Alligator mississippiensis: one gene and its partners. The protein of the gene in region 2 purifies or fractionates together with the protein of the main gene of each other region. This does not show direct contact. Links are inferred from orthologs where the notes say so. Each region holds a gene or a part of one and is shown on either strand. Other genes may lie near its edges.

Region 1 (7,649 bases), on a different chromosome or scaffold from region 2:
TTGGAAGGGAGGTGAGTGGCTAGCCATTAAGTTTTTGATTAAAGTGTGTGAAAGACTTTTTTGAGAGATTAAATCCTACAAAAAAAAAATGAAGCTGTGAAGTAGAGGTGCCTGGAAACCAAGGAGGGGCAATGGCAAACGTTTCCTGTCTCATTCCTCTTTCATCTCCACATGCTAAACACCTGTTACACTTTAGGATGAGTGCCCAGTGCCCACACCCATGATATTTTCACCACCCTATCTGTCAAAAGTCTGTTGTACATCTGGGGAAAAAGCCTTAAAATGCTAACCTGTAACTGTGGGGTTAGATGGGACTGCATGGAAACAAGCCCAGTGCTTGTGTTCTGGAGGCTACTTCAAATTGACTATGTACTTCCCACCTGGAAAGCAAGAAATTGGACCTAATGATATTATCCATGTCTCTCCATTTACTTGCATCCTTCAGAAACCTGAGATCTGTAAGGCGAGTCATTAGTCTTTTATTAATTCAAACAGCTGGGACCTTGAAGGGACTTGAGTAATGTAATCCATTTCAAAGTGCTGGAAGAACGCAGTGCGGTATGAAAAATTTTAGCCTTTTTGTGAATTTGGTCCAGCAAAAGGAAATGTCTAACTTTTTTTTACTAAGCCTCCCTGCGCATTAGTGGCACTGGGTATTAAAAGAGGCACATGGGGTCAAATAGAGCCAAAAGAAATAACATCCCTGAAAAAATCTATTAAAATCCTTGTTAAACACCACATGTAGTGAGTAGATTTGCTAAAATTCCTTGTTGATTTTTCCACCCCCCAAAAAAAACAAAGCTGTTTTGCTTACATGAAAAGCATTACAATGAGCATAAAATATTTTGTGTGTGTGTGACTCTAGTGCTTGTGAAACGTGGTGATTCAAGTCTAGGTCTTGGATAATCCAATGCTGGAAAAACTTGCAGAGTCTCATATTCATGAGAGGTGTTGGACTGATTATCTGCAGAGAAAAAGAACTTTGCCCACAGAACAGGTAAAGAACGAATATAATATGTGCTATCCCAGTGTCCCCACGATCTATTTAGCAAAGTACAGAGAGGAACCATCTATCAGACACCCCTCAGAGATGAGCTTGTTCCTTCTCCATTACTGTTGTCCCCAGCCTCTGCCTGACTTCCCAACAGCCAAATGCCTTTCCAGAGCCTGCTGTAATGCTCCCCTGCCAGGAGAGACAGGGAGGTGTTGAGCCTAACTCCCTGTTTCAGGGCTCCAGAATTATAGGAACACCAAAAATATGGGGCTATTTTGGTGGGGGAAAAAATGGACTTGCATGATCACATTACCATTTCTTCCTTTCAGTGCACCTGCTGCCCAGAGCTGAAAGTGCCGTTCATAGGAGTAAGCAGAGTGAAAGGTCCACGCCTGTTGTTGGTAACTGTGCTATAACAGTAGGTAAAAGTCAAAGCCTCATTGCTCTAGACTCTGTACAAATGCAAGGGTCTGGAGAACAAAAGCAGGTGGGGACTTCCTTCATGTCAGCTGCTCTGTTGGATTTGGATGCATTTTGGATCCATTGGATTTGCAACCATTTGGATGCAGCTCTTGCCCTTCAGTAAGCAAAAGCTAAATTGTGGTCGCTCGGCCCCATTTCATTGAGGTAAGCTGTCCCAACCATGCTATTAGTCCAAGAAAACGCATCACCCCAAAAATCTGCCTCTTACTCCAGTTTAGCTTTTGCTCACTGGGGAGTGAGAGCAGGGACTCGAACAGATATTGCAGAGCAGCTGATGTGCAGTAAGTACCAGCCCCCTTTTTAACTTGCTCTGAGTTGTTACTTAGGTTGTGTCCATTTGAGTACGCACCATTGCCAAGAGTCTGTATTTTAGAAGATGAATGCTCTAGACAGAGACAAGACAAGGCAAGGAGCTGATAAACTGTCACAGCCCATCAGGGTACGTGTCTACTGCCTCCAGTGATTCCATACCTGTTGCCAAGAAGCAAGCCTTGCCTACTTATTCCAACTGCTCAAGAGTCACTTGCCAGAACACTTTGTATAGTTGCTTTTTGGCATGTGCTCAGGACCTCAGGCTGTGGCATGCTCCTGAGAGTACCTGGCTCTCTTATGACAGTATGGGATTAGGAGTGAGCGGACAAGTCTTGCTTCTCTGTCAGTGAAGGCTAGATCGAGGTACCCTTGGTTGCCTAATAATCAGCGAACTCCTTTTGTAGGCATCAGGTTGGTTGCAAACATAACTGGCTTGAATATAAATAAAGCATCTGCTAAATTCAGTGGGTGTGACAAATGAACAGCAATACATTGAAGGGGCACTAGTAGGTGAATAATGTAATTGAAATGCAATTACTAGAAGGGCATAAGGTTTTCGGTATGGCATGAATTGTTTTGTAGTAGTCTTCTATGGGATGCCCATCTTTAATTTCTTGCTATGCAAGCTACCTATCCATAAAATGCTGAATTGGTATAGTTCATGCTTCATTCCAGGGTTTATATTGTAGCTAAATTTGGTTTAATAAAGCTTTTTAGTGTTTTTTTTTTTTTCTTCTCCCAAATAAGACTTGGTTTACTAAAGCTGTTTCTAGCTATACTCAGAATTTAAATGCTGCTCTCTGCTTCTAATGTCTTGTATTTTTGTACAGGGATCTTCAAGACCTTAAAAATCATTCATGAATTAAACCTAACAACACCCTGGAGACAGGTAAGTATTACCATGTTGTTTTCCAGGTGGAGAAACAGGATGATTTACCATAGTTAACATCATGCAAGGAAGTTATTGGTCGACAGGAAAAGTTGGAGCTCCTGCTTTTCTAACATTCAGTCCTGGGTTTTTACCACCACAGCAAGTTCCTTTTGAGCATTGCTTAAAGTGGGCATTTTTACAATGTCAGTGCAGAGCATGCGTTTCATATTCCTAAAGAGTTCTGATCTGTTTTCAGCCCTTAAAATCTGTTAAGTTCTGCATGTGCATGGAACCCACTGAAATCACTGGGGTGCTCTGCGTCGGCCCACTCCCATGAAGTAGCTTGCAAAAATAAGACCTTGCTGGATTTATCGGACGTTGTGTATTGACGTGTGGCCGGGACTTGCATTGCCTGATGGCTATTCATACTCTGGTGGCTTCTGACTGGCTGCAAAACATCAGTGGTTGGAATTGCTAATACCGCCAACATTGCCCCTAAGAATAAAGAACGCTGGCAATCGGAACCAACTCCCCGCTAGAAAAGCCTCGTCTGTTAATGGCAGAGTTCATTTATTTATTATTCGAGCTGTATTTTTAGGTTATTTTTAACTGTGCATTTGGGTGATAAGTTAGCCCTGGGTCCAATTAGCCTTGAACTGGGATGCCTCTGCAAAGAAGAACTAGTGCTGGACCCAGGGAGAGCTGCAGCGGGGATTGCTCCATCCTTGGAAGTGCAGGGGCAGGTACATCAGGCTGGAAACCAGGTAACAAGAAAAGAAACAAGGTTGTTAGTTGTAGCCGTGTTGGTCTAAGGACATAAGTAGACCAGGGTCTTTGGGTTAATGTGAGATCTTTTATTAGACCAACTAAATAGCTGGTAAAATTGTTCTTTGCAAGCTTTCAGGCTCAAACACCCTTCTTCGGGCAAATAAATGAAAAGAAATAAGGGATGGATTTGGTAGCTGTGTTGGTCTGAGACTAAAAGAAATGCAAAACTCTAAAAATCTTGGTTTAGAGATGATACCTTTTTATGAGACCAACTGAGCAACTGCAAAAATAAATAAATAAATAAATAAGTAAAATTCCAAGTAAATAAAGTATATAAATAACTTATTTATATGTATTCAAGTTAACGTGAATTTAAATATTTAAATTCATATTAAATATAATTATATATAATTCTCTATAACCATAAATAAATTATATGAATTATTTACATTTAAGTTAATATGAATTTAAATACAATGATCTATAAATATAAATAAATTATATAAATATAAATAAATTACCTATATAAGTTGCATTTAAATTAAATAGATTTAAATATATAAATTCAATTTAAATTGTATATAACCAGCTGAGAAACTGCAAAAAAATATATTAAATATCAAATTTTATATGAATTATATTATATTTAATTTATATTATATAAACTAATATATATTAATTGTGTGGGGGGTTGGTTTTTTGGGTGTTTTTTTTTTTGCAGTTTCTCAGTTGGTCTAACAAAAGGTATCATCTCTGAACCAAGAGTTGCGTTTCTGAAAAGAAATAAAAGCATCAAGTCAAGAGCCACCCATCACGCCATGCGGCTGGCTGCCAGCTGCTGCTTCCCTGCCCTGCTACCGTAATGCCTTACCGTAATCGAAGTGTAGAAGCGCCCTAGAAGGAGCTGGCGGGAAGCGAAGATTGCGGCCTGCTCCCGCCTCCTCCTTGGAGCTGCCCAATGGGGGAGCGCGCTCTCGCGCCCCCTGGCGGCCGGCCCCGCACTCCCGCGCCCAGCGCTGCGGCGGGTGGCAGGAGGCAGCCTGCAGCCCCGCTCCCGCGAGTCCTCCACGAGCAGCGTGCCACGGAGAGAGCGGCGCGGCGGGCGGTGGACGCTCTAGCCCGCCGCGGCCGCCATGTCAGTCTCGCTGGTAGCGGCCCCCGCCCTGCGCTGAGGAGGAAATGGCGGCTGGGCTCGGCTGAGACCTGCGGCGGCGGCTGGATTCGCCCCCGTCCCCCCCACGCCCTCCGCACGGGTGAGTGCGGGAGGCAGCGGGGGAGGGAGGAGGGGGAGAGCCGCGGGGGGGGGCGCTCGGAGGCGACGCGGGCGAGGCGGCGACTGCGGCCTAGGCCTGGAGGATCGGCGAGAAAATGGAGGCGGGCGGGCGAGTCGGGGTAGGCCGCGCGGCCTGGGGACGGGGACGGGCCCCTCCAGGACGGAGTCACAATCCCGCTGACGTCATGGCGCTCCGTGACGTCACGCCCCGTCTCCCCCTCTTTTTGTCCCGCGCAACGGCCGCCAACGGGCTGGGTACGGGGGGGGGGGGCTCAGCGGCATGCGGCCTCGGGCACGGCTGGGTGGTGTTTACAGTGGGGGACGGGGAGGGGGGAGATGTAGGCTTCCCCCTCCCCAGGGGCCGCTCATTTTTGGGGTCTCCTAGGCAGACCAGGGTCTCTGGGTAAATGCAATTTTTTTTTGTTATTTATCAATTCAGTGGTGGGGGTGGGGGGGATTAATCCCCGGGAAGTGTTTGGGCACTATGCCCTTCTTCAGTTGCAGGGAGAGCCCGCGAGTCCTCCTGGGGGGGGGGTTGTAACCGCATCGGGCTAAGGACATAGGTAAGGACAGGGTCCTTTGGAGTAAATCCGATATCTTTGTATAGACCAGCTCCAATCGCTGGACAAAATAAAAAAAAAAAAATCTTTGCGAGCTTTCGGGTGTAAAGACACCTCGGTGGTCTGAATGTAAACGAGCAATTCGGAGCGCTTCGGATCAGCGGAGCGACGCTGAGAGCTGTAACTATTAACGCTTTCTCGGACAAGCCCGAAACAGCCAAATCCATCAGGATCCGGGGACTCGCAAAGGAGAGACGGAGTTTGCAACGAAAAGGTGCAAACACGTCCCTGAGGTATTTTATTACCTGAAAGCTTGCTGAGAATTTTTCCGACTCAAATAGTTGGGGAAATTCTTCTTTGCGAGCTTCCGGGTATAAATAAATCCCTGGGGTATTTATACCTGGAAGCTCGCAAAGAAGAATTTTCCCAACTGTTTGAGTAACTCCTCCTATGCCTCCCGTCAGATTGAACTGGCATCGCTTGAAGATGAAAAGCGTCCTGTAGCATTCAAAGGACGTTTTATTTACTTATTTTTTTGCAAGCTGAGAGTCGTTTCTGTAACGCCGGGGATAGCGCGCTCTTTCCTTGGGGGTTCTGCCTGCGTTCTCTTGGCTTTGAAGTATTTCTTTGTGGGAGGTGGGAGGAGAGCTGCCCTCCTTTTGGCATCACCTTTTTCACTGCAAGATTTTTTGTCTCCATGATTCCCCAGATCCTGATGGATTTAGTTGTCTTTTGCTTTTCCAAGAAAACCTTAATAGTTATAGCTTTTACCGCTTAAATCAACAATGGTTCTGTTGATCTGAATTGCTTGTTTGCATTTGACCACCAAATTGTGTCATTTATTTATTTTTAAAAGGACGTTGTCCTTTATTGCCTGTTTTAGGAACAGGTCATGTAAGCAGTCACTTGAACTAGTTTGCGCTACGCAACATCTCCAATTATGTTTTTTAGTTTCTTGACTTCCTTGCAAATTAATTAGCTGTATAAACAGTTGAACTGTTGAGGAAAAATATAAAGCTGAAAAAATGCATGTAGTTATAAATGGAGGGTTGTATGCCAACTGTAGTAGCTGTTATAGGTCATGTTAAAAAATTTGATCATGTAAAAGAGTAGTAAGAGACTGACCATTGGATCTTCCTGTAAGATCTTGTTTAACAAATTTGCTGGTATGCTCAAAACACCTTTTTGGGCTTAGTCTTTTAGGTGGTTTTTGTTTTGTTTTTGTTTTTTGAGAGTTTAGAAATGCACTGCATTGAAAAGGGCTTTCCTTCATTTTTGCTCCAAACTGAAAGTTTTTGTTAACCTTCAAATAACCTAATTATTTGTCAAAAGCCATGTAATGGACTTGGAAGAGAGCAGGATTAGAGCTTTGAATCCTTTTTTCAGAAAAGTGTTTAAGGTTTTGAAGTATAGAGGGACACAGAAGAAGCAAAGTATTCTGCCTTGGCAAACAGATTTACTTTGGTTTGTCATGAAGTTTAAATTTCAGAATGTAGACCCTGATCTGCCAGTTTTTAAGATGTAGTTAATATGTAAATAATATGATGATTATTTCACACTTTTTAAATCTTCAAATAATACAGATGGGGGTGAGACAATGTCTTGTCTCGTGAGTTCCTTTTGCTTTAAACAAAAGTAATGCAAGTGAAGCAGTTTGAGTCCAAAGCGTTACATAAGGACTTAGAGCTTGCAGGTCTTAATTTTAATAAAAAGCTAAAGGAAGTTATGGGAGAACTTTCCAGAGGAATGACTGTTTACTCTTCCTATCGTACGCTCTTTATATTCTCCCTCTTTTTTTTTTTTTCAGTTAAGTATTACAAGCTTTCACCACAATTTCTGAAACTTTTTTTCTCTTTTTGGCTGGGGGCAGGGACAGGCAGAGGCTTTCTTTCTTTAATTCTAGCTAGGCTTGACTGACCTCCTTCCTCTTCTCCCCCAGTAAAATTTCCAACTAATACATGCAGTGGTGGCAAAGGTAGTGTTAGGTTACTGGTGGCTTTCTTCACTAACACTTCCACTGTTTTACCACTAGTAGAACAGTAAGGAGGAATTTAAAGGGAAGGGATCTAATGTAGGTGAGGCTTGTCTGACTTCCAGTATAACGCTATCTGGGTAGCTGTTTGTGTGTCTTTTGGAGTCCCTGACCTCAATTAGTAATGGTTGAAATCTAGTATCAGATACTATGTCAGGTTACATGTAATATCTGTTCAGCAGTAAATATAAACTCAGTGGGCACGTCTACACATTTATTAATGCACTTTTAATAATGCACATTAATTTAGTACATCATATTAATGTGCATTAAGCTGTGCTGATGATCAGTAGCACAAGCACATGCTTTTTTAGTGATGCTTAATGCACAGTAGCTTATTCACTGAATTTTCCTCA
Region 2 (8,307 bases):
CTCACTCCTGGCCACAGCCCCATTCCCAGCTGCACGAGTCCCATCCCAGCAGTGGAGGTGGGAAGGATGGGCTGGGTTTGGCAGTGGCAACCAGCAGCTGCCATTGCACGGGGCTGCTGGGAAATGGAGTCCACCGCAGGCCAGATTTGCCCACCCCTGCTTTAGGCTGTTTACCTCCTTCCTTACCTGTTGCCAACGGTACTCATCATTTGATAGCTGCCCCTATCTGTAAAGACTGAAGTAAAAAAGGCATTAAATACTTCAGCCTTCTCTACATCCTCCACAGCTAGACTGCCTTCTGCTTTCTGTAAGGGACCTATGATTTCTCCAGTCTTCCTCTTACTTTGGACACACTTTTTACTGCCTTTTATATCCCTTGCCAGCTTGCATCCCAAATTGTGCCTCAGCCTTCCTAATTTTCTCCCCGCAAGCCTGCGAGGCACAATTTGGGATGCAGTTGGTATAAGTAGTACTGTTATACGCTTTCCTAGTACTACAACCAAGTTTGCACTTCTTACAGGATTCCTTTTCGAGTTAAACTCAGAGAAGAGAGTGTAGTCTAGTCAGGCTGGTTTCCTGTTTCACATCCCATTCTTCCATCGCATTGGGATCGCTTGCTCTCAGGCCCTTAAGGGCCTCCTTGAAGTACAGCCAGCTCTCGACTTCTTTTCTCCTTAGACTTGCTTCCCAGGGGATCCTGTTCACCAGTTCCTGTTAAACTCCAGTGTCCTTGTTCTGCTGCTCTCCTTCCTTCCTCCACTTAGGATCCTTTAAATCCATCATTTCATGGATGCTGTCACCAAAGTTACCTTCCACCTTCACATTCTCAACCAATTCCTCTGTTTGTGAGCAGCAAGTCAAGAACAGCTTCCCCTAGCTGGCCCCTTTACTACCTGTATCAAAAAGTTATCCCCAAAACTGCAGCAATTTGATGGACTGCTAATGCACTGCTGTGCTTCCCTCCCAGCAGAGATACCAACAATTTAGAGTGCCCATGAGAAACAAGTCCTGCAATTTGGAACCTCCTGGTTTTGGAGGCCTGTAACCAACACCCACCATGACATCTCACCCTGCAGCTGTATTGTGACCTTCATCCAAAGACTGGCAACCTCCCTTCCAGTTTGGGCCGCATTTCCAGAGACATGCACGTCTTCTCTACGTATACAGCAACACCTCCTTTCTTCCCTCACCGGTCCTTCCTGAACAACTGATACTCAACCATGACAGTATTCCAGTCTTGTGAACTATCCCACCACATCTCCATAATCCCAATTACATCTTAATTCTGTGTTTGTACTAGGACCTCAAACACTTCCTGTTTGCTCCCATACTTCTCACATTGGCATATGAATATTTCTGGTACCCGTCTATCCTATCTCCACCCCCCCCAACATTGCTACAGCTTCTGTAATTGCTTCCCCTTACTACGTTTTCATCCAGGTCCCCAGCCTCTTCCCTTACCTCTGGACTTTTGCTTTAAGATTATAGGAAACAAAAGTTTAGACAACATTTTTATTTCTGCTGTTTACTTTTGGCATTTCTGTTTCAGTTACCCCAATAAACATTCCTATCCTAACTTGGCTGTTGTTTCAAGGCATGAATATAACGCTGGAAAATCCTCTACAATATAAGAGACCTCAACACGGGGTATTCCAGCAAAGCATTTATGTACTACAGAAATTCCAGAAAGTTCATTTCCCCTGCATGTGTGCAGCTCTTCACATACAAATAGGACACACTTTGAAGTGGACAGTGTGTGGAGGCCGGGCATTGCAAAGGGCATCAGGCATAGTAGTATCTGAAGCCATTTATTCATTTATAATCAACTATTTCAAACTGATGGTCTTTGTTTACCTGTATTAAAATGAGCTTTCTAGTTCATACATGGAGATAAACTGAACTCTTTATTTTTCCGAGACTAAATTGAGGACAACTCCAGCACATCTCCTACTGTTCATGCTTTGCCAAACTACAGGTACGGTGAAGTCTGCACAGCTTGGGAAAACATTGAGAAGAGGATGGGCCTGAAACTATACCAGAAAAAACCAAAAACTAAGGGCAAGTGTAACACCATTTCCTATCAGATCTACTCGCTGCAGGCCCTGATGAAGGCCAGATTTCCCGAGAAGGATCACCATTCTTAGGACCTCAAGCTGAGAGGGGAATGACGGCTCGCTAAATCACTGTCATAATAACGTTCCTCAGTCTTCTCTCTCCTGGCTACCGCTGGCCCAGATGTCATCCTTTAGACGGCTGGTATCCAGTATGTTATTTAAAGTTCTCTTATTAAGCAGTCCCCCACTGCTGAAGATGCAAAACCACAAAGAAAATGAAGCCGATGCAAAATAAGCCATCTTCCTCGTTCAGTATCTCTCTCGATATAAGCTAACAGCGTATCAACCTGCCAGATGACTGGCCATACACGCTATTCGGGTAAGAAATAAGCATCGCCTTATAATACTTAACCTGAAAAGTCAAGTGCAATGTTAAGATGAAAAATGGAATAGGAAGACAGTAACAGATATATGGAAAGAAAGTAAAGATGCTCTATTTTTATCTGTGAAGGAAAGGGGGTTTTTTTAGTAAAGAACAGATGAAACGTTCCCTCAGGACTGACTTTGTTGAGTCCCTTGCAAAAATAAGAAGGCACAATGAGGCCAGATCCAGAGAACGAAGACCTCCACGCCCGGCCAGCGCCCGGCCCGCCCCTGCGCGCCGATCCTCTGCGGGCGGCCGCCTCGCCCGGGGCAGCGCCGCTGCTGGAACAGCGCTCGTGAGGTGGGGAGGGGAGCCAAGCGCGCGGCGCTGCCCCGAGCCGTGGCACACGAGGCGGCAAGGCTCGCCCGGCCCCGGCCCCGGCCCGCCCTCGCCGGCCAAAGCAAGCGCCGCGGCCTGGGGCGGTCCCGGGGCCAGCACGACCCCGCCGCCGGGCCGAGTACACGGGGACCGCGGGGGAGGCGGAGGGCGCGGGCCCCGGGCCCGAGGCGGCGGCGCGGGGCCAGGCCGCGACCCCTCGGCGCCTTCTGGAAAGTTCCGCGAGCTCCGGCCGGGCCCCGGGAAGCGCGGGGCGGGGCGGGGCGGACGCTCGGCTCGGCCCGGCCCGGCCCGGCCCGGCAAGGCGCGGCGCTCGGCCGTACCTGTGCTGTCGGCCACGCTGCCCACGGAGGTCGCCATGGCGAGGGGGTCCGGCGGCTCCGGCTGCAGCGCTCCGCGCGGTGCGAAATGGCGGCCGCGGAGGGACGAGTCCGCGCAGCTCGGCCGGATCTAGCTCGGCACACAAAGTAGTCCAGCAGGACACAGCACCGGCTGCACGCAGCGTCCCGCGCAGCAGCGGCCCAATTCCCGCCGGACAAGCCTGGACGCCTTTGCCACGCCGGTATCCCACGGGCAGGGCCGAGCGGGCAGCGCGAGGCCTCAGGGGCGGCAGCACTTTGTTATGGTGTCCTTCCGCCTGCCCATTGCGACATCCCGGCCCCAGCGCGCATGCGCCGCCCTTCCGCACATGGCGCCCGCGGCCACATCCGGGTGCGTCACTGCCGCGCGGGGCCTGCTGGGAGCACCCCTTACCCTTCTCTCGGCCCCGCTCACGAGTGGGGCGGCACGAGCTCCTGGGCCGGGCGGCTCTGCTCGGGCCCCCAGCGCCGCTGGGCCCGCACCTGGACAGAGCAGAACCAGCCCCAGCCGCGTCCTCTGGGTCGGGTCCCAAACGCCTCAGGGATGGAGACCCGGCCCCCGTCTGACCTGGCCCACTGCTTCGCCCCCCGCCGGGCAAGAACGTTTTTCCCTTCTGCCACATTACTCCTTGTCCCGTCACGTGGTGCCCCCTGCGGGGGGTTTCTCCGCTCCACGGAGGAAGAGGGAGGTTGGCAGTTAAGCAACTCCAGGCACAGCAACCCCTCGAGCAAGGAAGTTCAGAAGAGACCTGATCTGACATACAACACTGGAGAAAAGCACAGCTCCCGGAGTCTGCCCACAGTTCTGCAAAGATACACGGGCCATGCATGTATCTTTTTTAACAAAAGTTTACTCACATTTCTTTTACAGGATACTTTCAGACATTTATTTTTTGACAGTGTGTAAAGGCCGATTAAACAAACCGCACCAAAAACTAAATTTCCAGCTCACTCACTAATATCTGTAAGGATGTTTTGTCTCTGGAAAGAACGAGGAGGCACAAGCCAGAACATGGGATTCTCGAGCTGACTCCTGTAACTGATGACCAGCACAGCTGTTCAGCGATGTCAGGAGGGGACTTTTCCCAAAGCTTGGCATTCACAGTTTAGATTACTATTGTACATTATTTCACGTAGTTAACAGACTTCTCATTAAAATAGAAGTTCTATCCAAGAAAAAACAGGTGCTTCAAACGCGCATCCCAGACTGCATTGTCCGTGAGTCTGAAAGGGCACACAGGACCCCTGTGAACCACGAGTGCACACATGCCGTAGCAACAGAGGATGTCTGGGAAGCTTATTCATCCGAGTCCAGGTCACTGTCTCCTGCAATGGAATGAAATTCCTCACTGTCCTCCTCATCCTCAGACAGATGAACCTGGCTTAGCACACTGGGCCCACAACGCTGTTCTTCCTCCTCCTCTTCCTCCTCCTCCTCTTCCTCCGAGACTTCATACCCTCCAATGCTGCTAAAACTGGTATCTCGTGTGTTGGACTTGGGATCTGGTTCCTCATAGCTGCCATAACTGAAAGAAAAAATGAAATCTTACTACATTAATGTTTCTGACTGTTCATTTACACTGACACTCTTCCCTGGACCCCAATGGCAAAGGCAAAAAGGCCCATACAAGAACAGGTCTCATTTTCTCTACTAGTAAAAAAATTCCCAGTGTAAGAACTTTTGCTCTCTAGGAATCCCTCCCTTCCTGCTCCCTGAACAGCATGATGAGAAGAACAGCACCCAGCCTCACAACTCCACAGAACAGCTAGAGGAAGAAGCAGCAACCTATGGCCCATGGGCTGGGCCCAGCCCGTGAAACCACTTGATCTGGCCCATGGATGTGGGGCTTTGGTGGTATTTGGTAGCAGATCCAACCGCTGCTACTGCTTCTAGCACCCACCCACCTCCGACCCAAGCTGGGTCATTGCAGCCTGAAGCCTAAAAAGTTTGCTGACTGCTGGGCTAGAAGAAAGCCAAGCCAAGACAAAGAACATGGGGTCTACAAGGGGCAATCTTCTATACACCATGCATCCGATTTTCAGGCAAATGAACTGCTATCAAAAGATGCACTGTGTACACTTCCTCTCTTTTGACATTCGTATTGCCTTTACCTGTTTGTCCTTTAAAGGGAAAAAGCATTAAGTTAAACAGAATCTGAGGACCTAAAATTCATCTCCTAAAAATCAACTCTTTCCACAATAATAGCATTTAATATTGTCGAAGACTGTCCACATGAGTGAGTTTTTTGCTCTTTAACAGAGGCCCTCGCCACACGTTACACTTGCTACTTGCTGGGGCAGGGAAAGCCTGGGATCATGATCCTGGGCTCCCTCTGCACCAGCAATAAGGTGTGATGGCATGTGTGGCATAGCAGGAAGTGCAATTGTGTGGATTGTGCACTGGATCCTACTGCACCTTTACCTGCGCGTCTGGCAGAGGCCAGGCGGTACACAAAAGTAGAATGTTAAAGCTACGAATCATTTGACCTTGCGTTACCACGTTTTTTCTTTTCTATGTAATTAGTGGGGTTTGGGTTTTTTTAAATTTGGTGAGGTACCTACAGCAGAACCAAGTTCACAGCAACGAGAACATTAATAAAATTTTAAGAATAATTTTAATTTAATAAAAGAGTAACAAAGTGGTTATTCTTTTATTAAAGAGTTAAACCCCACCATGATCTGGTCTTCTCTACAGTGCTCTCCTAGTAGGGGCATAAGGTAAGTGCCTTAGAACGGTGTTTCTCAACCTGTGGGTCGCAAGAACATATGAAAGGGTCATGAACAAACTTTAAAAATGAATGAACCAACTTGAAAAATGGATTCTCCTTTAAAGGAGAAAAAACATGGGAAACCATGGCTTTTCCTTTGCAGGCTGGCAGAGTTCCAGCCTGCAAGGGACTGCTTGGGGCCCTCCATGCACCCCACACACTGGGGGGGCAGGGTTGGGAGTGAGGGGCACTGGGTCCAGACTGGCCATTGATGTTTACAAATGGGCCCTAGTCCAAAAAAAGTTGAGAACCACTACCTTAAAAAAAAGTAACAGAGGAACAATTTAGTTCTATGATTTTATGATTGGAATAAATTAGTTCTCCAGCAGATAGTGGTTTGTTTGGGTTTTTTTTTACAGCTCAGCTTTGATTACCTGATATTACTGTCCTCCATCACATGAGATGTCTCCCCAGTATCTCCCTCATAGGACATCATACTTTCTTCATTGTCCATGCCCATACGTGTGTTCTCTTGAAGGACGTGAGGCTGCTTGGGCCTCACTGCATTGGACTCCACGTCCGAATCGCTGCCACTCTCACTTAGCTGGATAGCTGTGCAACAAAGAGACTTGCCGATTACTTTTGACCTCTTTTTAATGACCTAATTCTCAGTCCCGTTTTAACAGCCAAAAGCTTCAACAGCAAGAAAAAGTCCTGTTTCCCATCTAAATCACTTGTGTTTTCATTACACCATTGGCCCAGTCCAGCTCCACGTGACCCCAGTAACCGACCTGAGCCTCAGTCTTTTCCCTTCCATCCTTCAGAGCTCCCCTATCAATCAGAAACGTCAGATCCTGCCTAAGCTTCTGTTTCCTGAGTCCACACATTTCACTTCTACTCCACTTCATCTTGGCTTACACCCAAAATTCATGCAACTTGCTGCTTGCTGTCGTTATCTAGTAGGTAACTGGGCTGTAAACATCTGGTCTCTGTCACCTCAGTACCCTGAATATCTACTATCCCAGGCCAGAATATATGCTACAGTGATCAAAGGACATGGGAGGTTGGCTGGGATGGGAACAGCCATTTCCTGCTCAGACCTTTGACGTCAAGACCCTAACATACATGAGAAAGGATTATCGCCTTCTTCGTCACTCCCATCATCATCATCATCTTCTCCATCTGACATGAGCAGATCTTCATACAGAACACTGGCCTGAGGCTGCTGGGCTGAGCCTTCTTCTTCATCAGCAAGGTCACCATCTGCATCTTCAACTTCCTGTGTCACACACAACAGGAATGGCACAGGTCAAAAAAAATCACATAAGCTACTGCCAGAGCCGGTACATGCTTACTAATTGACACAATTAATGAACAATACATTCAGTCATTTGTTTTTATGCTGACTGTTTCATGACCACAGATAAATCTCATTAATCACTGCTGTGAATTCTGTTGTCACTCAGGTGCCAGACCCAGCAGACTTGCCCTGCACTATGGAGTCTTCTACTATGAGGATGCAGATCAACAAAGTGGACTACAGATGGGATTTCTGTAAATATACTCACTGGGGCTGGAGTCTTAGGTTTCCCATCATCATCCTCATCAAACCCTTCAATATCTACGTCAGAGTCTTCCTCGCCCAGCCTACCTCGTCCCTGGCGCATCTGAATGAGGAACACAAATAGCAACACCATTGAGGGAGGCACTAGTGTCAGAAGAAAGAGTCTGACTGACATCCAGACCACAATAGAAGTATACCCTGGGAACAGGGACTCTTTTTCCTAAGAACTTCAAGACCTAACCAAATCTGTTTCCTGGATGCTTCTGCTACACTCTTCTCTAAGGAGGTCACAAGAAAGCGAGGCAGGCATTCCTCTCTACTTCCTAGCTATTACAGGATGGGCAATTTGTCCTAGGAGAACTTGTGGTTGGGCCTCGTTTCCTCAAAGTCAGTAGGCTGGTTCAGCAGCTTACAGCCACAGCCACATGCATGGGAAAACATGCACAGATTCTGTCCCCAGAGGTGCAGATACTGCTTACTAGGAGGCATTTTAGAACCCCAGATACGAGCGATACTACATTCTGCACTGAACTTTCTTCCTTGCCTGTTCCATCAGTTGCTCTGTTGCTATTCTCACTCTTTCTGCTCTTGTCATTTGCCCTCTCTTTCTTTCTCCTCAATGCCCTCTTCCCCCTTCATACCCAGGTTTTTCCATTAAATTTATCCTCCTCTTCATCCTCCCTCGCTCCATCTTTAGCCTCTAATTGGGGGGGAGGGAACCAACAAAAACAAAAAACCTAGCAAAACTTGCTCCCAGCGTCACCATAGCTAATTTGGAAATGCATTGTGATCCTTAATCCCCACTGCTTCCCCCATTGTCGTCTTTTAAATATAAGAGTGTGGCAACAAATGTGTCCTCTTG
Region 3 (8,275 bases), on a different chromosome or scaffold from region 2:
CAAGACTGGGCACAGCGGTCCTGGAGCAGGACAGAGGTAGGATACCGGGGTCCCCACACGTTTTAGCTGGGGCAGGGGGGCCGTGGTACCAGGCGGGCAGGTACCTTTGATGTCGAGCTGGGCATGGATGAGGTTGCCCATGACAGAGGTGTTGTGCAGGTTCTTGACGGTGTCCTTGGCACCGCGCGTGCTAGCAAAGAGCACCTTGGCCAGGCCCAGGTGTTTGCGGGTCTTGGGGTGGTAGAGGATCTCGATCTCCTCCACCTCACCGTACTTGCGGCACATCTCAGCCAGGAAGGGCTCCTTGATGTTGTCGTTGAGGCGGGCGAAGGTCACCTCTTTCAGTGGGATCTGCCCCACGTAGAACTCGTCCAGCTGCAGGCATGGAGCGGCGTTACGCTCGGCCGACTTTGCCTCCCCAGAGCCGGCTGCACCCCGGAGAGCCCACCCAGGGATGCCGACAGCAGAGGTTACACTCCCTTGCTCTACCCTGCATTGAGGAGGGCTGGGAGGTAGGCACTGATTGGCAGGGGGGATGGGGTGGACAACGACTCACCTTGAACTTGGGCACGGGCAGTGAGAGGTCACGGTGCTTAGCCCAGATGCGGCGGTGCCGGGGGTCCCGCACCTCATCCACGGGGGCATACCGCGCATCCTGAGGGAGACAACAGTTAGCGATGGGGTTCGGGACTCCCTTGGCCTCAAGTGGGGAGGAGAGGAAGGATCCGGAGCTCAGATGCCTGGGTTCTGGCTCCCACCCCCCACCAGCCCAGAGAACCCAGGCGTCCAGGCTCCCAGCTCCCCCTGCTCTCACCCCCCTCCCAGAACTCCCCACTCCCCCAGATCTGATAAAATTGGGGGGGGGTACAACCCCAGAGACCCCTCCTTGAACGGGAGCATTAATTGCCCCCCCAGCAAGGCAGACTCACGGGGGCGCTGAAGTGGACGCCATCATAACGGTAGATCTTCTGGGGGGCACGGCGCAGCGCGGGGTCCACCAGCAGCTTGTAGCTGCGCCATGGGACATTGGGGGCTCTCGGGAAGTCACCCCCGCCCTCCTGGTCCATTCTGACTCATTTACCCTGCAGGGGGCAGAGGAGGGAGATTATGCCCATGTTGGGATAAATGCCATGCAGGGGTAGGGGATAAATGCCCCATGGGCAAGGGGGTAAATGCCCCCTGCTGGAGGGGCTGGGCGAGGATCGCACGCATGCACCCACAGAACTCAGGTGTCCAGGGCACTTGCAAATGCATGCACACACATATGCGTGCACAAAACCCAGGCGTGCAGGCAACTTGCAAGTGTATGCACACATACATATGCAGAACCCAGGCATGCAGGGCGCTTGCACGCACATGTACAGAGCCCAGGTGTGCAGCCCACTTGCACACACGTATGTGCAGGACCCAGGCGTCCGAGACACTTGCATGCACGGAGAACCCAGGCGTCCCTGCTCTCCCCCCCCTCCCCCCCAGTGCACATGCGCGTGCAGGACCCAGGCGTCCGGGACACACGCAGCCCTAACCCCCTGGGGCAGGACCCTGCCCGGCATGCAGAACCCAGGTGCCCGGCGGGCGCCCGCGCACGCACCTGCTGGAGTGCTGTGGGGCGTGGGGAGGCGGCGGGCGCTCGCTCAATCCATGCCGTGCCCGGTGCCCCGGGGCCTGTGCGGGAGAGGAGGGTGAGGGCCTGGGCAGCAATAGGGGGGAACCTGGAGACCTGGGGGAGAGGGGGGGGTGCACCCAGGGATCCTTGCCCCCAGGGACCCCCTTGTCTCCCCAGACCCCCCTCCCGCGCCCACCAGACCCCTTTCCGTCTCGGAAGCCCCTCCCCGCCCCGCCCATGCCAGGACCCCTTGTCCGTACAGCCCCTTTCACGGCCCCCCTGGCACCTGCCCTGCCCCACACAGCCCCCGTTTCTGCTCAGGAACCCCCCAGCCCCCAGGACACCCCTTTTCTTTTCAGAAACCACCTCCTCATCCTACCTACCCCTGGGACTCCCCTCAGCAACCCCCTCAGACCCCAAAGCCCCCCCTTTTCCCCCAGCAGCCCCCTGCCCCCCAAATTTCTCCTCTGAAGCCCCCCCCACCTCCTACCAGCCCCCTCTCCCCCTTAGCACCCCCCTTCCCTCATCATCTCGCTCACCCCTGGGCCCCCCTTTCCCCCTCATCACCCTGCTTTCCACCTCAGATCCCCCCACTACCCCCTCAGCAACTCCAGACAACCCCAGATCCCCTCCATGTCTCCCCCAACCCCCCCCCCGACCCCTACTACGGCCCCCTACCCCCCTTCTTCCCTCAGAAACCCCCTCCCCACCCCCGCCCCAACACCCCTCATCCCCCTGGCCCCTCCCCCCAGGACCCCCCCTCTGCCGCGGCCCCGCCCCTTCCCCCGCTCAGCCCCGCCCCCCCCGCGCGGCCGTTAACGGCCACCCTGGCCCCGCCCCCTCCCGCCAACGGCCGTTCGAACGCCGGCTCCCCGCCCCCCACTCACCTCACTCCCCGCGCGCGGCTGCCCCCCTCCCTTCCGCGCAGGCGCACGAGGGGGGCAGGAGGGGGGAGGGGGGCGGGGCGGGAGGGGGGCGCTGCCAGCCCCGCTGTCCGCCGCGGCCGCCGGAGACGGGGGGAGGGGGGAGGAGAGGAGCGGGTGGGCGGGGCCCCGCGCCGGACGTCTCGCGCGCGCCCGGCGAGCTCTCGCGACATCTCCCCCCCACACTTACAAGTACACACGGTCCTTCCCGATGTGCGGCACTTTCGACACGGCGTTAAAAAGTATAATAAAAGAAATAAAATAGAAATAAATCCGCATTCGAGCTCGAACAACAAGCTTTTTTTCCTTGTTTATTTATTTATGTATTTATTTAACCCCCGCCTCTCCCCGGGTGGCCTCAGGGCGAGGCGAATCGGTGCCAGCGAATCAGCAGGGGAAGGAGGGGGTCCGCCTCCACGCTTTCGTCGTCCGCCCCTTCCGGCTATTTCGTCACGCTTCGACTCTCCAGTTAATAGCTAATTATTCATTTTAATTACCCGATGCTAATTTAGACCCTATTTCGCCCCGCTTCTTATTGAGCAGGGACGAATCTGCAGCGGCCAACCCGCAGCTAGCGCCCGGCCCCGAAGCGGGATGGTGAGTGACAAGGATGGCGAGGGTTGGGTATTCGTCTCCGCACTTTCGTTACCCGCCCTCCCGCTTATTCTGCACCCTGCTCCGCCCCTAATAAATCGTTAATTATTTATTCTAATTAAGTAACCCTATTTCCCACCGATTTCGGCCCCCGCCACGAGGGAGAGCGAATCTGCAGCGGCTAACCCGGAGCTAGCGCCCGACTCCAGATGGGCGGGGGTGCTTGGAGGGAGGGAGTGAAACGGGGGTGGAACTGAGGGCACTGTTGGTCGGTCGCACTTTCGCCACGTCCTCGCCTCGCTCTCTATTTACATATATGCAAATAAGCTATGACGTCCAACCAAAATGAAGTCGAGATAGGCCCAGCCAGGCCCAAGCCGGGTTTTTAAAGCGTTGGAAACGGGGAGGGACGAATCGGCGGAGGGTGAAACCGCAGCTTGGGGAAGCCATTACGTTGTCCGGCTTCGGTACTTTCGCCACACGTGTATCTAAATGAACGCTCATTTGCATAAATCTGAATACGACGCGGAGCGATGCAAATCAACCCTTTAATGACTCAGGAAATGGATTGGGTGGGAACAAAGGCGGGGTCAGCTCGTGGGACGAATCAGCGACGAGCGAAACCTCAGGCTGGGACAAAGGAACAGGTTAATTATTCGCACCTCGCACTTTCGCCATGACCCTGAGGAAAGGAAATGACGAATGAACCCCCACCCATTTGAGTGTCCCTCCCCCCCCCCCCGCGCCCCATTTTTATAAGGAGGAAAATAATTAAGAGCGAATCAGCTGCCCGGGGAATCTCAGCTAGGCCCCAAAAAGGTACTCTTTCTATTCACTCGCTGCACTTTCGCCAGCAGAGAATTAAATAGTTAACCAATGACTAGGTCATTAATGAACCCCTCCAGAAACAAGTCAATTTTGAGGCCAAAGAGGAAGGGGATTGCTTTCGGAAGAGTTAACTCTTGGCCCTTGAATCTGCTACTGCTAATTCAAAGCTGCCGGAAGGGGGATAAAGCCACACTTCCCTCACAGAGTGAAATACAATTGTCCCTTTACGGTTGGAAGAACGAGAAATGTCTCCAGACCTCAATTAGGCCTCTATTTGCATATTTGATTATGTGGGGACAGTGTGTCGAATGTGCTGATGCCAAAACTGCAGTCTCTGACCCCCTCGATGACCCTGAATTATTCAGGGGGAGTCACATAAATCCTAATAAGAAAGGACGGTCTCTTAATGAGCAAGAGCTATTCAAAAGACCAGAACCAGAGCGAACTTGTGACCGCGAGACGGTCAAGATGTATGCAAATGTATTCAAATACATGCTAATAGCAAGCAAACGAGGCTTTTCGGGGTTAATACTACCGTATTTTCTAGGATACAACACACCCCTGGAATGCAGGACACGCCTTGAAAGAATGTGAATCCTGAGTCTGTCTGCCTAACAGCCTATAATGAGCAGAAAGAGCTCTTACCATATTTCCCCTCTGTAATGCGCACCAAAATTGCCTGCAGCTGCTTTCCTGCGGGGGTGGGGAGGGATTGCATAGTGCCTGCGGGAGACGCGGCAGGCGAATATTGTGACTCCCAAAGCCATTAGAAGTGGCCTGTCATTATTCCAATGGATGATTGCTTGTACCACAGACGAGGTGATAATGAGCAATGGAACTTCGTTAGGCCTTGAAAGCCACCAAGTGGTAGTCAATGGCCACTCGTTATTCAAATGTATGGAAGTTATTGCTGACAGCACGGGCAGGGAGATGAGGAGGCCCGGAGCGTTTGCGACGCGCTGAGAGCACTGAAAATTGAGCCCCAACTTCGATAACGAACGCCTTCCAACCCTGCCGCGCAGAGCGTCGGTATTGAGACCGGTGCACTTAAAACGATCGGAAGAAAACAGAACAAGTGAGAATAAAAGCAGAGGTCATATTTTAACCCAATGATCCCCCCGGCCTTTATTGGCATCACTGCTGGCAATTTTCAGATATTAATGTCATTCAGGATCCTGACTTTCTGGTGATCTTCCTGCCGCCGGCTCGTAGCGGGCAGAATAGAATAATAATAATTCAGCAACTAATTAATATTAGTGGTGTTTCATTTTACTCATAGAAAAATGTGGATTTGGGGCTGCTTTTTCTGAACTGAAAATAGGGGATTTTCCTTTTTTCATCTGGGATGAAAGGATCCCTGCTAACCACTTTATGGAGCAATAAGAATTCAAAAGTTTGTCAGGATCTGGTCAAGGATAATCAGAGGCCCCGAGTCTGCAAGAGCGATGAAAAACCCGTCGTTAGAAGAGCATTGCACCGTACGGGGCGAAGAGTGATTTTTCAGTCTGACACTTCCGAATGGCATAACAATAAGTGCCGGGCAATGACTTATAGTTGCATTGAAATATAGGTAATACAAATAATGCCAGTATTACTGAGGATGTGGTTTGTGGTAGCAGCAACAAAATGCTACCGTGACGGTAGGACACGTCGGTGATGTTATCGGCCTCGGCGTCGTCAAGTAACATGACTTGACGCGTGGGACGGCCGCCACCAGCGCCACGCTCGCTCGTATTATCTGCGCGTGATAATAACGACCGTGCTGTCGTTGCGACAACCACGGCTCTTGTAGCAGCCGGCAGAATAACCAGGGCCCATGTTGCTGTCCTCGCTGCCTTGCTCCGTGGTCGCTGCTAGCACTAGGGCTGTCATTTGCAGCCACAGAGCAAGAGCAAGGGCAAGACGCGTCACGCTATCGGTGATGTGAGTAACCCCGCCCCAGCAAAGGCCCCGCCCCCGCCCCCGCCCGCAGCAGTACTAGCAGTAACGCGCGCTGCGCTCCCGCCCCGCCCCGCCCCGCCCCGCCCCGCCTTGTACGCTATTTGGATCGATGACGAAGCTGCTGCTGCTGTTAGTGATGATGATGATGCAGGCAATAACGTGGGCAGCGCGGATGACGTCACTAAGGGTGATGACGGCCAGGATGCGCACGCTCACGTGAACACCAACGCTGCCAATGGCGGAGACCACGTCCCTGTTTCTGTAGTAAACCACGGACGAGCCCGGCGGTTTGCGCGTGGCCGTGTCCTGCACACGTGGGTGCTGCGTGCACGTGTCCCCCCCCCCACACACACACACACACCCCTGCGCGCGCGCGTGCCCCGCCCCCTCCACGCCGGGCCGCTCTGCCGGAGGAAGTAGGGGCGGGGCCTCGCCTGACCCCGCCCCCTCCTGCTCTGCGCCTGCGCAGCCCCCCGCCACTCGCCTGCCTGCTCGGGCTCTTGCACACTCGGTGAGCGCCGGGGGGGGGGTGGCACACGGTGGGGGGGAGGGGGTTGGGGGCAAACGGGACAAGCCAGGGGTTTACACACACACACACACACAGGGAACCCAGGCACCCAAACACATGTGCAAACACACACACGCACCCAGGTGTCCAGGACACACACACACACACACACACACACGGAACCCAGGCACCCAGACACATGTACAAACACACACACACACGCAGGTGTCCAGGACAGGTGTGCGAGTACACACACCTACGGGGCCCCAGGCATCCACCCCCCACTAATCCCCTGCCTTTTCCTCCCCCCGCCCCCCCCACAGGGCAGCGCCATGAGCCAGCTCAGCCCCTCCCCCCCCGGGGCCCCGCCCAGCCCCGCCCCCGACATCTCCTGCGACATCCAGTGCTGGTCGGACGAGGACTGGAGCCCGCCCCGTGCAACGCACGAGCAGGGTGCAAGAGGCAGTGGCGAGGATGCAGAAACAGGGCCCTCGCACAACGATGCCAGTGGGTGGGGCTTGCACCACAGCAACGACAACCCTTCGTCACCCCCGGCCTTGCACGTGGGTCACGGAGAGCTGGGGTGTGACGCTGCCTCACACGAGGGCCACAACAGTCAGCTCGCTTTCCACACCTCCTCGCACGAAGGCAGACAGTGCCCCGGCTTGCACAGCGAGTGCTGCCCGCTCGCTTTCCGCACCCCCTCGCACGAGGGCATCCCCCAGCTGGCTGTCCATGCTGCCTCGTACAAGGAAAATAACCAACCAAGTCCCGGCAGTGCCTCGCCCGAGGACGATGACCTACCTCCCCACCACACCTCGCACAAGGACAGCGACGAGCTGGTTTTCCCCGGCGCCTTGCACAAGGGCCGAACTAAGCTGGATTTCTACGATGCTTCGCACGAGGACCTGCCACTGGAGTACTACACTACCTTGCAGGAGGACCGCAGTAGCAAGCTGGCTTTTCACAATGCTTCACAGGAGGGCCACAACCAGCTGGATATCGACCCTGCCTCGCACAAGGGAGATGCATTGGAGTTCCCTGCTGCCTCGCACGAGGACAAGCTGCATTTCCCCACCTTGCACGAGGGCCTAGCACCGGATTTTCCCGCCGCCGCCGCCTTGCATGAGGGCCCAGCCCGCTTCCCACCGCCGCCCCCCTCCCGCCCGCACCAGTGTGGAGAGTGCGGGAAAGCCTTTGCGGCGGCCTCCACGCTGGCACAGCATGCCCGCACGCACACGGGCGAGAGGCCCTACGTGTGTGGGGCCTGCGGGCGCCGCTTCGCCCGGGGCTCCACCTTCCTGCAGCACCAGCGTGTGCACACGGGCGAGCGGCCATACCCGTGCGCCGACTGTGGCAAGCGCTTCTCCCGTGCCTCCAACCTGGCGCAGCACCGGCGCGTGCACACAGGTGAGCGGCCCTACGCCTGCGCCGACTGCGGGCGCCGCTTTGGCCTCAGCTCCACCCTCCTGCAGCACCAGGTCACGCACACAGGCGAGCGCCCGTACCCGTGTGCAGACTGCGGCAAGGCCTTCAACCGCCGCTCCAACCTGGCCAACCATCGGCGCGTGCACACTGGCGAGCGCCCCTTTGCCTGCGCCGACTGTGGCAAGCGCTTTGCCGAGAGCTCCACCCGGGCGCAGCACCGGCGCACGCACACAGGTGAGCGGCCCTACCCGTGTGGCGCCTGTGGCAAGCGTTTTGGCCTCAGCTCCACCCTGCTCCAGCACCAAGCCACACACGCCGGCGACCGGCCCTACCCGTGCGAGGATTGTGGGCGCCGCTTCCGCCTTGGCTCCGCCCTCCGGCGCCACCGCCGAGCCGGGGCCTGCCGCCGGGCAGGGACCCCGGGACAGGGCACGCCATGTGGGGGCT

The links. The genes of interacting proteins can lie anywhere in the genome.
Region 1: the proteins of OGT (region 2) and DIDO1 purify together in Homo sapiens (affinity purification with mass spectrometry; 3 studies listed by BioGRID and IntAct, with this or other methods). This does not show direct contact. The link is inferred for Alligator mississippiensis from reciprocal best matches to the Homo sapiens genes OGT and DIDO1.
Region 3: the proteins of OGT (region 2) and SETD1A purify together in Homo sapiens (affinity purification with mass spectrometry; 4 studies listed by BioGRID and IntAct, with this or other methods). This does not show direct contact. The link is inferred for Alligator mississippiensis from reciprocal best matches to the Homo sapiens genes OGT and SETD1A.

The regions. Positions count from the first base shown.
Region 1 is NC_081832.1:4,709,217-4,716,865, forward strand, and holds the start of DIDO1 (death-inducer obliterator 1), read left to right. Parts: upstream 1-4,598; 5' UTR 4,599-4,681; intron 4,682-7,649. UniProt on the Homo sapiens protein: Putative transcription factor, weakly pro-apoptotic when overexpressed. Tumor suppressor. Required for early embryonic stem cell development.
Region 2 is NC_081831.1:83,415,871-83,424,177, reverse strand, and holds the start of OGT (UDP-N-acetylglucosamine--peptide N-acetylglucosaminyltransferase 110 kDa subunit), read right to left. Parts: upstream 3,247-8,307; 5' UTR 3,175-3,246; coding exon 3,138-3,174; intron 1-3,137. Other genes in the region: TAF1 (transcription initiation factor TFIID subunit 1), read right to left, coding at 4,471-4,699, 6,316-6,493, 7,007-7,160, 7,450-7,548. UniProt on the Homo sapiens protein: Catalyzes the transfer of a single N-acetylglucosamine from UDP-GlcNAc to a serine or threonine residue in cytoplasmic and nuclear proteins resulting in their modification with a beta-linked N-acetylglucosamine (O-GlcNAc).
Region 3 is NC_081830.1:483,272-491,546, forward strand, and holds the start of SETD1A (histone-lysine N-methyltransferase SETD1A), read right to left. Parts: upstream 3,052-8,275; 5' UTR 2,720-3,051; intron 2,625-2,719; exon of another isoform or gene 2,494-2,624; intron 1,666-2,493; 5' UTR 1,592-1,665; intron 1,083-1,591; 5' UTR 1,068-1,082; coding exon 930-1,067; intron 656-929; coding exon 557-655; intron 376-556; coding exon 105-375; intron 1-104. Other genes in the region: zinc finger protein 850, read left to right, coding at 6,733-8,275. UniProt on the Homo sapiens protein: Histone methyltransferase that catalyzes methyl group transfer from S-adenosyl-L-methionine to the epsilon-amino group of 'Lys-4' of histone H3 (H3K4) via a non-processive mechanism.